Linked DNA regions of Arabidopsis thaliana. The protein of the gene in region 2 interacts with the protein of the main gene of each other region in a pairwise test. Each region holds a gene or a part of one and is shown on either strand. Other genes may lie near its edges.

What was found.
Region 1: the proteins of WRKY60 (region 2) and GUN5 interact in a two-hybrid assay, tested with the Arabidopsis thaliana proteins (one study listed by BioGRID).

The regions. Positions count from the first base shown.
Region 1 is NC_003076.8:4,386,608-4,394,029, reverse strand, and holds GUN5 (magnesium-chelatase subunit chlH, chloroplast, putative / Mg-protoporphyrin IX chelatase, putative (CHLH)), read left to right. Parts: upstream 1-1,600; 5' UTR 1,601-1,947; coding exon 1,948-3,352; intron 3,353-3,447; coding exon 3,448-3,530; intron 3,531-3,629; coding exon 3,630-5,432; intron 5,433-5,521; coding exon 5,522-5,998; coding exon of another isoform or gene 5,999-6,002; intron 6,003-6,085; coding exon 6,086-6,463; 3' UTR 6,464-6,723; downstream 6,724-7,422. Other genes in the region: PDAT (phospholipid:diacylglycerol acyltransferase), read right to left, coding at 56-501.
Region 2 is NC_003071.7:10,627,543-10,631,983, reverse strand, and holds WRKY60 (WRKY DNA-binding protein 60), read right to left. Parts: upstream 2,323-4,441; 5' UTR 2,173-2,322; coding exon 2,116-2,172; exon of another isoform or gene 2,022-2,115; coding exon 1,959-2,021; exon of another isoform or gene 1,755-1,958; coding exon 1,446-1,754; intron 1,363-1,445; coding exon 1,246-1,362; intron 1,159-1,245; coding exon 889-1,158; 3' UTR 571-888; downstream 1-570. Other genes in the region: AT2G25010 (Aminotransferase-like, plant mobile domain family protein), read right to left, coding at 1-133, 210-293; AT2G24990 (Serine/threonine-protein kinase Rio1), read right to left, coding at 3,685-4,068, 4,160-4,231, 4,312-4,419. UniProt on the Arabidopsis thaliana protein: Transcription factor. Interacts specifically with the W box (5'-(T)TGAC[CT]-3'), a frequently occurring elicitor-responsive cis-acting element.

The DNA.
Region 1 (7,422 bases), on a different chromosome or scaffold from region 2:
ATCAGATCCAATCCAAATCCCAATATAAAGGAAGAGTGAGAATTGTTGAGCTCACCTTTTGTAGACTTCACCAAAAGTTCCACCCCACAAACGTTTTCTAAATAAACCATCAGCGCATTGTTTGCCTTCCCAAAGCTCGAGCCCACCGGTGACAATCCCAGGAATGAAGACAACAGGATGTTTCGCCTTAAGACCTTCTTTTTTGAGCTTAACACCGGGCGGGTCAGGCAAAGGACCCGTGATTCGCTCCGTTACATACTGAGGGAAGCTCGCAGGCATTGCGTTGTAAAGGAAGAGAAGAAACCACCAGGTTACACACACACACCCAATGAACCAACAACAAGAATCGATGCACGACCACTTCCCTCCTCCGTTCGATTTCTTATGGTGGGATTTGGAAGATTCGTGTGGTTTCTTTTGCGAATCCTCATCGTGCACCACCTCTTCAGATGGCGGCGTCGATGGTTTCTCCGTCGGCTTTTTCCGATGAATAAGGGGCATATCTGTCACTTGAAATTAAACCAGGTTAAGCTATACGGACTTTGTCAAATCTCGTCCAGGAATTTAGAACACAGATTAGGGATTGTTAGATCAGTCGAGAGAGACAAAGAGCTGTTTCTCTGCGAATTTCTGGAACCAATCAAATCAAATTTGTCTCTTTTGTTTATTGTCGACTTTTCTGTTTTTTTCTGTTCTGGTATTATTCCTCCAAGGGACTCGGACCGGATGGCAAAACTTGACCACTTTGCTCCTGGTTCAGGTTGCGGTTCATGGTCAACCTTAGACCCGACCTATCCGTTTCGTTGATTTCATTAATTAGTCTGCGTTTTCTTGGGTGGAGTGCAGACAGATTTTCTTCTGCAGTAGGCGTTAATCCGATAGGCTCTTGTTGGGCCTCAAATAGTTCAGTAAACTTTTCGTGGGGCTTTTAGTATAGCCCATGTATTAATAACAATATTACACTTGGGAAATGACAAAAAAAAAAAAGAGAATGAAGCGGTACTCTTATATCAAAAAAACATATTGTATATCTTCGAATATGATGCAACTCATGCAACAACAATACTAGTAGGCTACATGTATTGCTCCATTTAATTACATATAACTTAATATTCTAATTCATAAACTTTCTTTTAATTATATATTTTATGTAAGTTTTAAATATTGAAAAAAAAAAAAGTTTTAAATATTGAAACATGATAAGTTTTTACATCCATTTATTATAAAAAAAATAGTGATGATGATGATCAAAATTTTGAGTACATTTTAGAGTGTTTTAACTTTTACATTTGTTGTTACAATTGTTATGAGTCTGATATTTCAAATTTCGTTTTCAAAGAAAAATCCTGAGTTTACCTTAAAAGATTAAAGCCAGTTTTTAAGAAATAAGTAGAAAAATATCAAACCAGACCTAGCTGAACCAAAAATTATACAAAATCTAGACCGGATTAAACCGGCTACCCGACGAATATGCCTAGTAAAAGTGTCGTCATCGGAAAAGAATCTTTTACATGGCTGAAACCGCAAATACGATCTTCAAGAGAGCAACATAAAAATACTTGTCAAATAAGTAAAGAAAATAAGACACTCAATATCCACACTCCCAAACCATGAAAATATGAATAGAAATCTCAATGAGCCAATCAGAGGCCAGCAAAGTCCATCTCATTGTCCCAAGCGGATATACATCCGACAAAACTCAACCTCACAAGTAGACTCTCCCTTCTTCCGTAACTATTCGTCCACGTGTCCTTCCCTCTCACCACTTACCTTCAAAACCAACGCTTCTTTTTTAGTTCCTTGGTCCGAAGCGTTTACCGATGAGAGAATCATAAACTCCCACTTGGAGCTCAAAAAGTGTAAGAGACAACCAACAAAAAACGATTCATCTCTTCTCCTATCCTCTCCTCTTCGAATTCAACGTTTGGAGAATCCAGCAGCCGCAAAATGGCTTCGCTTGTGTATTCTCCATTCACTCTATCCACTTCTAAAGCAGAGCATCTCTCTTCGCTCACTAACAGTACCAAACATTCTTTCCTCCGGAAGAAACACAGATCAACCAAACCAGCCAAATCTTTCTTCAAGGTGAAATCTGCTGTATCTGGAAACGGCCTCTTCACACAGACGAACCCGGAGGTCCGTCGTATAGTTCCGATCAAGAGAGACAACGTTCCGACGGTGAAAATCGTCTACGTCGTCCTCGAGGCTCAGTACCAGTCTTCTCTCAGTGAAGCCGTGCAATCTCTCAACAAGACTTCGAGATTCGCATCCTACGAAGTGGTTGGATACTTGGTCGAGGAGCTTAGAGACAAGAACACTTACAACAACTTCTGCGAAGACCTTAAAGACGCCAACATCTTCATTGGTTCTCTGATCTTCGTCGAGGAATTGGCGATTAAAGTTAAGGATGCGGTGGAGAAGGAGAGAGACAGGATGGACGCAGTTCTTGTCTTCCCTTCAATGCCTGAGGTAATGAGACTGAACAAGCTTGGATCTTTTAGTATGTCTCAATTGGGTCAGTCAAAGTCTCCGTTTTTCCAACTCTTCAAGAGGAAGAAACAAGGCTCTGCTGGTTTTGCCGATAGTATGTTGAAGCTTGTTAGGACTTTGCCTAAGGTTTTGAAGTACTTACCTAGTGACAAGGCTCAAGATGCTCGTCTCTACATCTTGAGTTTACAGTTTTGGCTTGGAGGCTCTCCTGATAATCTTCAGAATTTTGTTAAGATGATTTCTGGATCTTATGTTCCGGCTTTGAAAGGTGTCAAAATCGAGTATTCGGATCCGGTTTTGTTCTTGGATACTGGAATTTGGCATCCACTTGCTCCAACCATGTACGATGATGTGAAGGAGTACTGGAACTGGTATGACACTAGAAGGGACACCAATGACTCACTCAAGAGGAAAGATGCAACGGTTGTCGGTTTAGTCTTGCAGAGGAGTCACATTGTGACTGGTGATGATAGTCACTATGTGGCTGTTATCATGGAGCTTGAGGCTAGAGGTGCTAAGGTCGTTCCTATATTCGCAGGAGGGTTGGATTTCTCTGGTCCAGTAGAGAAATATTTCGTAGACCCGGTGTCGAAACAGCCCATCGTAAACTCTGCTGTCTCCTTGACTGGTTTTGCTCTTGTTGGTGGACCTGCAAGGCAGGATCATCCCAGGGCTATCGAAGCCCTGAAAAAGCTCGATGTTCCTTACCTTGTGGCAGTACCACTGGTGTTCCAGACGACAGAGGAATGGCTAAACAGCACACTTGGTCTGCATCCCATCCAGGTGGCTCTGCAGGTTGCCCTCCCTGAGCTTGATGGAGCGATGGAGCCAATCGTTTTCGCTGGTCGTGACCCTAGAACAGGTTAGTCCACTTATGACCATATTGCATTTTTCATGATTGTCATTACGCAAGAGTGGGAATGTTTTCTTATGGAGGTGGTTTACCAATTGCTGCAGGGAAGTCACATGCTCTCCACAAGAGAGTGGAGCAACTCTGCATCAGAGCGATTCGATGGGGTGAGCTCAAAAGAAAAACTAAGGTATTGTATTACCACTCATCCTTAGTGAAATCACATTCCTTCATGACTTTCTCAAGAATGTAATGTATGTTCTCATGAATCAACTCTGGCTCATTGCAGGCAGAGAAGAAGCTGGCAATCACTGTTTTCAGTTTCCCACCTGATAAAGGTAATGTAGGGACTGCAGCTTACCTCAATGTGTTTGCTTCCATCTTCTCGGTGTTAAGAGACCTCAAGAGAGATGGCTACAATGTTGAAGGCCTTCCTGAGAATGCAGAGACTCTTATTGAAGAAATCATTCATGACAAGGAGGCTCAGTTCAGCAGCCCTAACCTCAATGTAGCTTACAAAATGGGAGTCCGTGAGTACCAAGACCTCACTCCTTATGCAAATGCCCTGGAAGAAAACTGGGGGAAACCTCCGGGGAACCTTAACTCAGATGGAGAGAACCTTCTTGTCTATGGAAAAGCGTACGGTAATGTTTTCATCGGAGTGCAACCAACATTTGGGTATGAAGGTGATCCCATGAGGCTGCTTTTCTCCAAGTCAGCAAGTCCTCATCACGGTTTTGCTGCTTACTACTCTTATGTAGAAAAGATCTTCAAAGCTGATGCTGTTCTTCATTTTGGAACACATGGTTCTCTCGAGTTTATGCCCGGGAAGCAAGTGGGAATGAGTGATGCTTGTTTTCCCGACAGTCTTATCGGGAACATTCCCAATGTCTACTATTATGCAGCTAACAATCCCTCTGAAGCTACCATTGCAAAGAGGAGAAGTTATGCCAACACCATCAGTTATTTGACTCCTCCAGCTGAGAATGCTGGTCTATACAAAGGGCTGAAGCAGTTGAGTGAGCTGATATCGTCCTATCAGTCTCTGAAGGACACGGGGAGAGGTCCACAGATCGTCAGTTCCATCATCAGCACAGCTAAGCAATGTAATCTTGATAAGGATGTGGATCTTCCAGATGAAGGCTTGGAGTTGTCACCTAAAGACAGAGATTCTGTGGTTGGGAAAGTTTATTCCAAGATTATGGAGATTGAATCAAGGCTTTTGCCGTGCGGGCTTCACGTCATTGGAGAGCCTCCATCCGCCATGGAAGCTGTGGCCACACTGGTCAACATTGCTGCTCTAGATCGTCCGGAGGATGAGATTTCAGCTCTTCCTTCTATATTAGCTGAGTGTGTTGGAAGGGAGATAGAGGATGTTTACAGAGGAAGCGACAAGGGTATCTTGAGCGATGTAGAGCTTCTCAAAGAGATCACTGATGCCTCACGTGGCGCTGTTTCCGCCTTTGTGGAAAAAACAACAAATAGCAAAGGACAGGTGGTGGATGTGTCTGACAAGCTTACCTCGCTTCTTGGGTTTGGAATCAATGAGCCATGGGTTGAGTATTTGTCCAACACCAAGTTCTACAGGGCGAACAGAGATAAGCTCAGAACAGTGTTTGGTTTCCTTGGAGAGTGCCTGAAGTTGGTGGTCATGGACAACGAACTAGGGAGTCTAATGCAAGCTTTGGAAGGCAAGTACGTCGAGCCTGGCCCCGGAGGTGATCCCATCAGAAACCCAAAGGTCTTACCAACCGGTAAAAACATCCATGCCTTAGATCCTCAGGCTATTCCCACAACAGCAGCAATGGCAAGTGCCAAGATTGTGGTTGAGAGGTTGGTAGAGAGACAGAAGCTCGAAAACGAAGGGAAATATCCCGAGACAATCGCGCTTGTTCTTTGGGGAACTGACAACATCAAAACATATGGGGAGTCTCTTGGGCAGGTTCTTTGGATGATTGGTGTGAGACCAATTGCTGATACTTTTGGAAGAGTGAACCGTGTCGAGCCTGTGAGCTTAGAAGAACTAGGAAGGCCGAGGATCGATGTAGTTGTTAACTGCTCAGGGGTCTTCCGTGATCTCTTTATCAACCAGGTAACCAGATAAAAGCTTTCTCTCTTCTTTCATTTAGATTCTTGTTGGTTGGTCTCTCATGGTGTTTCTTCCTTGAATTATCTTGACAGATGAACCTTCTTGACCGAGCTATCAAGATGGTGGCGGAGCTAGATGAGCCTGTAGAGCAAAATTTTGTAAGGAAACACGCGTTGGAACAAGCAGAGGCGCTTGGCATTGATATTAGAGAGGCAGCGACAAGAGTTTTCTCAAACGCTTCAGGGTCATACTCAGCCAACATCAGTCTTGCTGTTGAAAACTCGTCATGGAACGATGAGAAACAGCTTCAGGACATGTACTTGAGCCGCAAATCGTTTGCGTTTGATAGTGATGCTCCTGGAGCAGGAATGGCTGAGAAGAAGCAGGTCTTTGAGATGGCTCTTAGCACTGCAGAAGTCACCTTCCAGAACCTGGATTCTTCAGAGATTTCTTTGACTGATGTGAGCCACTACTTCGATTCTGACCCTACAAATCTAGTTCAGAGTTTGAGGAAGGATAAGAAGAAACCAAGCTCTTACATTGCTGACACTACAACTGCAAACGCGCAGGTGAGTGAATTTTCTTTGTAGTTCATATATGGGATCAGTTTTACCTTGCAAGAACACATTCCTTAAGGTATTTGTTGAATCTGGCAGGTGAGGACACTATCTGAGACAGTGAGGCTGGACGCAAGAACAAAGCTGCTGAATCCAAAGTGGTACGAAGGAATGATGTCAAGTGGATATGAAGGAGTTCGTGAGATAGAGAAGAGACTGTCCAACACTGTGGGATGGAGTGCAACGTCAGGTCAAGTAGACAATTGGGTCTACGAGGAGGCCAACTCAACTTTCATCCAAGACGAGGAGATGCTGAACCGTCTCATGAACACCAATCCCAACTCCTTCAGGAAAATGCTTCAGACTTTCTTGGAGGCCAATGGTCGTGGCTACTGGGACACTTCCGCTGAAAACATAGAGAAGCTCAAGGAATTGTACTCGCAGGTGGAAGACAAGATCGAAGGGATCGATCGATAAACAATGGGATATAAGCCTTTCTTCTTGTAAATGAACTTAAAACTTTATTTTTGTGTATTACAGTATTCTACCAAACGACATCATCTCTCTGTGAATAAGAGAATGTTTTGGCTGACATTTTCTGACTTTATATGAATGTTGTGGAGCTTCTTCTTTCATCTCCATTTCTTATATCATATTCATATGTGTGGATTTTATATGCGAAGAAAATGAAACTATAGTTAAGTGTAAACAAACTATGGTTGAGTCATGCTTTTGCGCCAAGAAAGGACAATTTGTCTTTATGTGAATTCAAAGTGGAGCGTTTTGGAGAAGCACTAGATCTAAGGTGTTCTCACATGTATATATAAGATGAAGCTATGCTGTGAACGTGGCAAAGGGAAATGAGCAAGAGAGAGATACAATGTAGAAAGCAAGCAAGAGAGAGAGATAGCCATTAAAAAGGTGTAATCTTTGGTTTTTCTCTTGAGAGTGTAACAGAGAAGAGATCTCAAGTGTGAGACTCTTTCTCTGTGGAATTCCCTCTTGTAACTTGCTTATTCTAGTGGATTCCGAGATGTGACTCGGCCCAGACTTTAGCATAAATATTATGTGTGTTCTCTCTTCCTTTCTCACCTTTCTCCTATCAAAGTCTCTGTTCTTTTCTCTGCATATATTATGTTTCATTTCCATGTGTTGGACTCTGTTTTGCATCAAACTACTTCAGTCTTGGTTTGCTAAGGTTTAAGCTCAAGAAAGTCAATAAGTCTTTGAGCCTCTGAAACCAAACAATATGGAACAAAACATCCTTGGAAAAGTTTATTTAAATGACATAGAGAAGAAATTGCTTGGCCATATATGAATAGACCATATAGTATAAATAAAATGCTGTACAACTGGACTCCAAGAAACAATACATAGGAATGTTTAAAACTAGTATCAAGAAGACAGAAAATAAAATAATATGGAAACATGAAAAT
Region 2 (4,441 bases):
TGTTTAAACTCATTGGACCGATTTTGCGAAAGTAACCGAAACCAGCTTTGTCCACGAGGTTAATTTGTTCATCAGTGAGTTTCCATTGATGTAGCAATGAAGTGTGTTCTTGACAACGAAGTAGACCTCGTTCCTAAGGTAAGTAAGGGGAAATAAGATTAACCCTAAATTCAAAATCTGAAATTTAGCAAGGGAATTAAGAAAAAAACCTGTCCTTCCCAAACAGCAGAAGAAACATGGAGGTCTTGCTCGTATAGGACAGATGGATCAACTGGTCCGACATCAATATCCATGTCGATAACTTACTCAAAATCAGCGAAAACTAAGATTACATAAACAAATTTTTGTCAAATTCTCAAAACACGAAACTTTTGATTCTTCAATTTGGGACTAAACACAGATGAAGAAGAAGAAGAAGTTGGGATTGGAAGCTAACCGTAACCTAATTTGGACTCGGTTCATAATTTTTCTTCTTGGCTTTTTATAGCTGTACCGGTTATTTTGGTTTGGTTCTCTTAAACCGACTCTGTTTTTCGTGGTTTTACTCTGTTTCCGGGTTTCTCTGTTTCTTTTATGTCTGTAATGGCATCACATTCTTCTCTAATGGAAGTTAATACAAACAACTGAACAAGATAACATTGGAAGATACATAAACTGTCGAAGCAGCGTCAATCTACCATACTTACACCGAGCTATAACAAAACTCTTTCAACATAAGATAAAATGGGGGTGACCCTTTTTGGATACTTAGATTTGATGTAATTATATACACACACATTAAAATTGACATCTATGCCTCCTAATCAAGATCAAACAAATCTTTACCTTTTTACTAGGAATGAGCAACAAAATAGAACAAAACAGAAATATACATGTTCTAGAGAACTTTCATGTTCTTGAATGCTCTATCAATCTCCCGGAAATAGCAGTCGCAAGAGCTGCAGTGAACTTAGGATCTTTGGTCAACGAAGAAGCCATTTGTTGCACCAAAACCTCTTGAATCGTCCCTCTCTCTTTCTTTTCCTCAACTGGTTCAAGCCCACCTTGAACTAGATCAAGTTTCACTGTCCTGGACACACTTGCATGTGGTCCGGTGTGGTTATGTGTCCCTTCGTAAGTGGCTACCAAGAAAGATGGATCTTCTGCACTTCGTTGCACCTAAACAAGCGCACACACAACTAGGGAATTTAATCAGACAGCAAGATGATATCGAAGAACTCTTTAACAAAGTTTAAACCAAAGTACCTTCTTCTTGACTAGACAAGACGGTGAAAACGAGCATCTGAAGTAAGCTCTAGGAGATGGATTATCTCTCGTAATCTTTTGCCCGTATTTCCTCCATTGATATCCATCTTTCACAGTCTACAAGTAACGTATATCCACAAAACATTCGTTAACAAATCAATACACTCAAAGAACGATACTTGTAGTAGAAATCTCCTTACCAAGCTTGTGTCAGACTTCTCAGCAGCAAAGTAAGCGGTTGAAACCGTCGCTTTATCGTTGGTGATGTTCTCGATTGGTCCGAGACTGAGTCCAATTGGGGAGCTAACAAACTCATCAAGTTCTTGTTTTCGTTTCCCCGTTAGCTGTTTGTTCTGAAAGTTAACACTTTCAGGACTCTTTCGACTCTGCAACTCCTCCATAAGATTATTAAGAGCATAGTACTTCTCACAGACTCTTGCTAACATTTCGGTTAGCTTCTTGTTCTCCGAATTAACCCGGTTTATTTCATCTTGTAGCATATTTCTCTTCTGTGTAAAATGAAAATCACCATTACCAAACTAAGCTGTAAGACAAAGCTTTGATTTGTTCAACTTTTGAGCATCACCGATCTAAACAAACTATTCAATGTCTAAATCAGATATGAGAACTTGATCAACCTAATCCATTCACTCATAGTCAAAAATTTTGAGGTCAAAGTATTGCACACCAAAGTGTTCGATGAAAGAACTAACCTCATCTTTCACTAACCATTTCTTCTCTACAACTTTAGAAGCTGAAGCCGAGACTTCTCTTTTCTAAATCAGGCAATAAAATATATATGAACACCACGAATAATCACCACAACCTCGAAAATTGAAGTGAAATTTTCGAAGAAATTGAAAAACTCACCGGAAGTTTACCGGAGAAATGAAGGTCGAACGGATTGGTGTTGGGATCATAGTCCATAAATTTAGGTTCACAGGAGCCAATTTAATGTAACGTGAGATTATAGCGAAGACCAAATTCATAATTGCTAAGAGATTTGGTCTCCTTTGGTTTTATAGTAACTAGTAAGTGGAGAGAGTGTAATAACTTGTCAATTATGAGAAGGTTGACGATTTGGGTGGAAAATGAGGGTCTCCTTTCTAATTCTAAAAAAATTATTATAAATCTTTTACAATTCTTGTAAATTCTCATAAACTTTCTTTAAAACCTTTAAAAGTTTTTAAAACTCTTTGTAAAATCGTTTTAAAACTTTTATTAAATCTTTTAAAAACTTTTGTAAAATTTTTATAAAATCTTTTGTAAATCATTTTAAAAACATTTATAAAATCCTTGTGTGTAATTCTAATTGTGCCAAAATTATAATGTGTATTATGCATATGATAGTGATTGAACATAGAAACAAAAATATTGGAAAAAAACAATACTAATGAAATGTGTAAACAAAAATTGCAAGAAAACTATTTAATTTAATACGTATTGACAAAAAGCAAGTTGTGTTTAATACGTTGGATTAAATTTGTTGGCTTGCATCGTAAATACTAAATGCGTGTCCTAAAAAATTAAAAAGGTTAGGTGTTAAATCGTAGTCGAATTGTTATGTTTTGTTGTAATCGGAGAAAACAAGTGTAAAGATGGATCAAAAATCAACAATTTCGGCGGATGTCCCATGTCGAAGAAAAATGAGTACTTTACATTAAGTTGCATTGTAAGATCCAGACCAACTTTCGCTTGACTTGACCCATTGACTATGCCCTGGAGGTTGGCATGTTTAATTTTGTCTCATATTTTTGTTTACTTAATCCTACCTACATTTAGTTGCATTAGTTAATTATGTCAGCTAGGCAAAATAAGATTTCGTTTCCCTTTTTTTTATGTTCATTAAGTTTGAAAGAAAATCATTATTTTTTGTTTTGTCATCTTTTTTATTAATATTATAAAATAAAAATATATTTTCCGATCTTACAAAACCGGCAGAAAACAAAGATATCTTCGAAAACATAGTTTAAAAGAGATAATCAAAGCTCCAAAAGAAAGAGAAAACACGTATTAAGATATAAACTATGGAAACAGAGGCTTAAGAAGAAAAGCTCATAAACACTAAACTGTATAAAATCAAGAACTCATTAAACAAAGAAAAAATGTTGTAAATAAACTAGTTGCAGGATTAGAATTTTCATACTATAAGCCAACAATCTCAAAACTTGAGTTGATAAATTTAGACACAACCATTATTCGAATTGTCAAGTTGGTTAGGGATGTGAGGAAAGGAACAGAAATTTGAATCCTATTCTTGAAACAGCAGCAAACCAATTTCGGGCTCTATAATAAAGTCATACTATGAATATTACAAGAACTTGCTATTTTTGGAAATATAGAGAGCTTTGGGTCCATACTCGATTTCCCAGAATTTGACACAAAATTTCAAAATATAAATAAAAATACAAGTTGGGGTGTCAAAACTTCTAACTCGGATTAACGAGTCTTGTGTGGTTTAGAGACTTTCTTCTTTCGCTTCTTGACAGATTTGGGTGTCTTCGTCTTCCTAGACTCTCGTTTCTCCTCTTTCACTTTCTTCTTGTGCTCTTTCCTTGCAGCTTTCTTGTCTTCATGACCCAATTCTTCTTCACTCTCTTCTTCCTCACTTCCTTCTTCACTTTCTCCGTCTTCTTCTTCCTCTCCTTCCTCTTCTTTCTCTTCATCATTCACCTCTATTTTCTGCTCTTCTATTTTAGGAAGAGCATCCTTAAGCCCCGTTATCGTTTGGTATAGCATGTCTCCTGTGTCCTGCCCGCTTGTTATCTTAGCCACGTCAGCCTCAGGGTTGTTCACAGCATCCAGAGATTTCGGTATGTATGACTGAACATCAATAACAAACCAGTAAGATTAAGATTATTCTACAGACAACTTCACATATCAGTTCACACAACTGGATACACTCTTAACTAACCTTCATGAATACTGAATCCGCGATTTCATCCTCTACGGATATCTCTCCTCGCTCTATAACTTTTCGTTGGACCTGCCCATTGTTACATAATTCATTAATTTAAAGCTGCCCACTGATTCAATGGACAATCCATATAAAAAGTCATACATTACCTCTTCCAAATAGCTATCAACATTTTCGTCTGTAATTGCCGGGTCAACTATGAAGTCAAATAGCTCCCGTATTGTCATGACAGCCACACCATGTTTTTTGAAAAAATCCTGCGTGTGATTGTCAAAATAT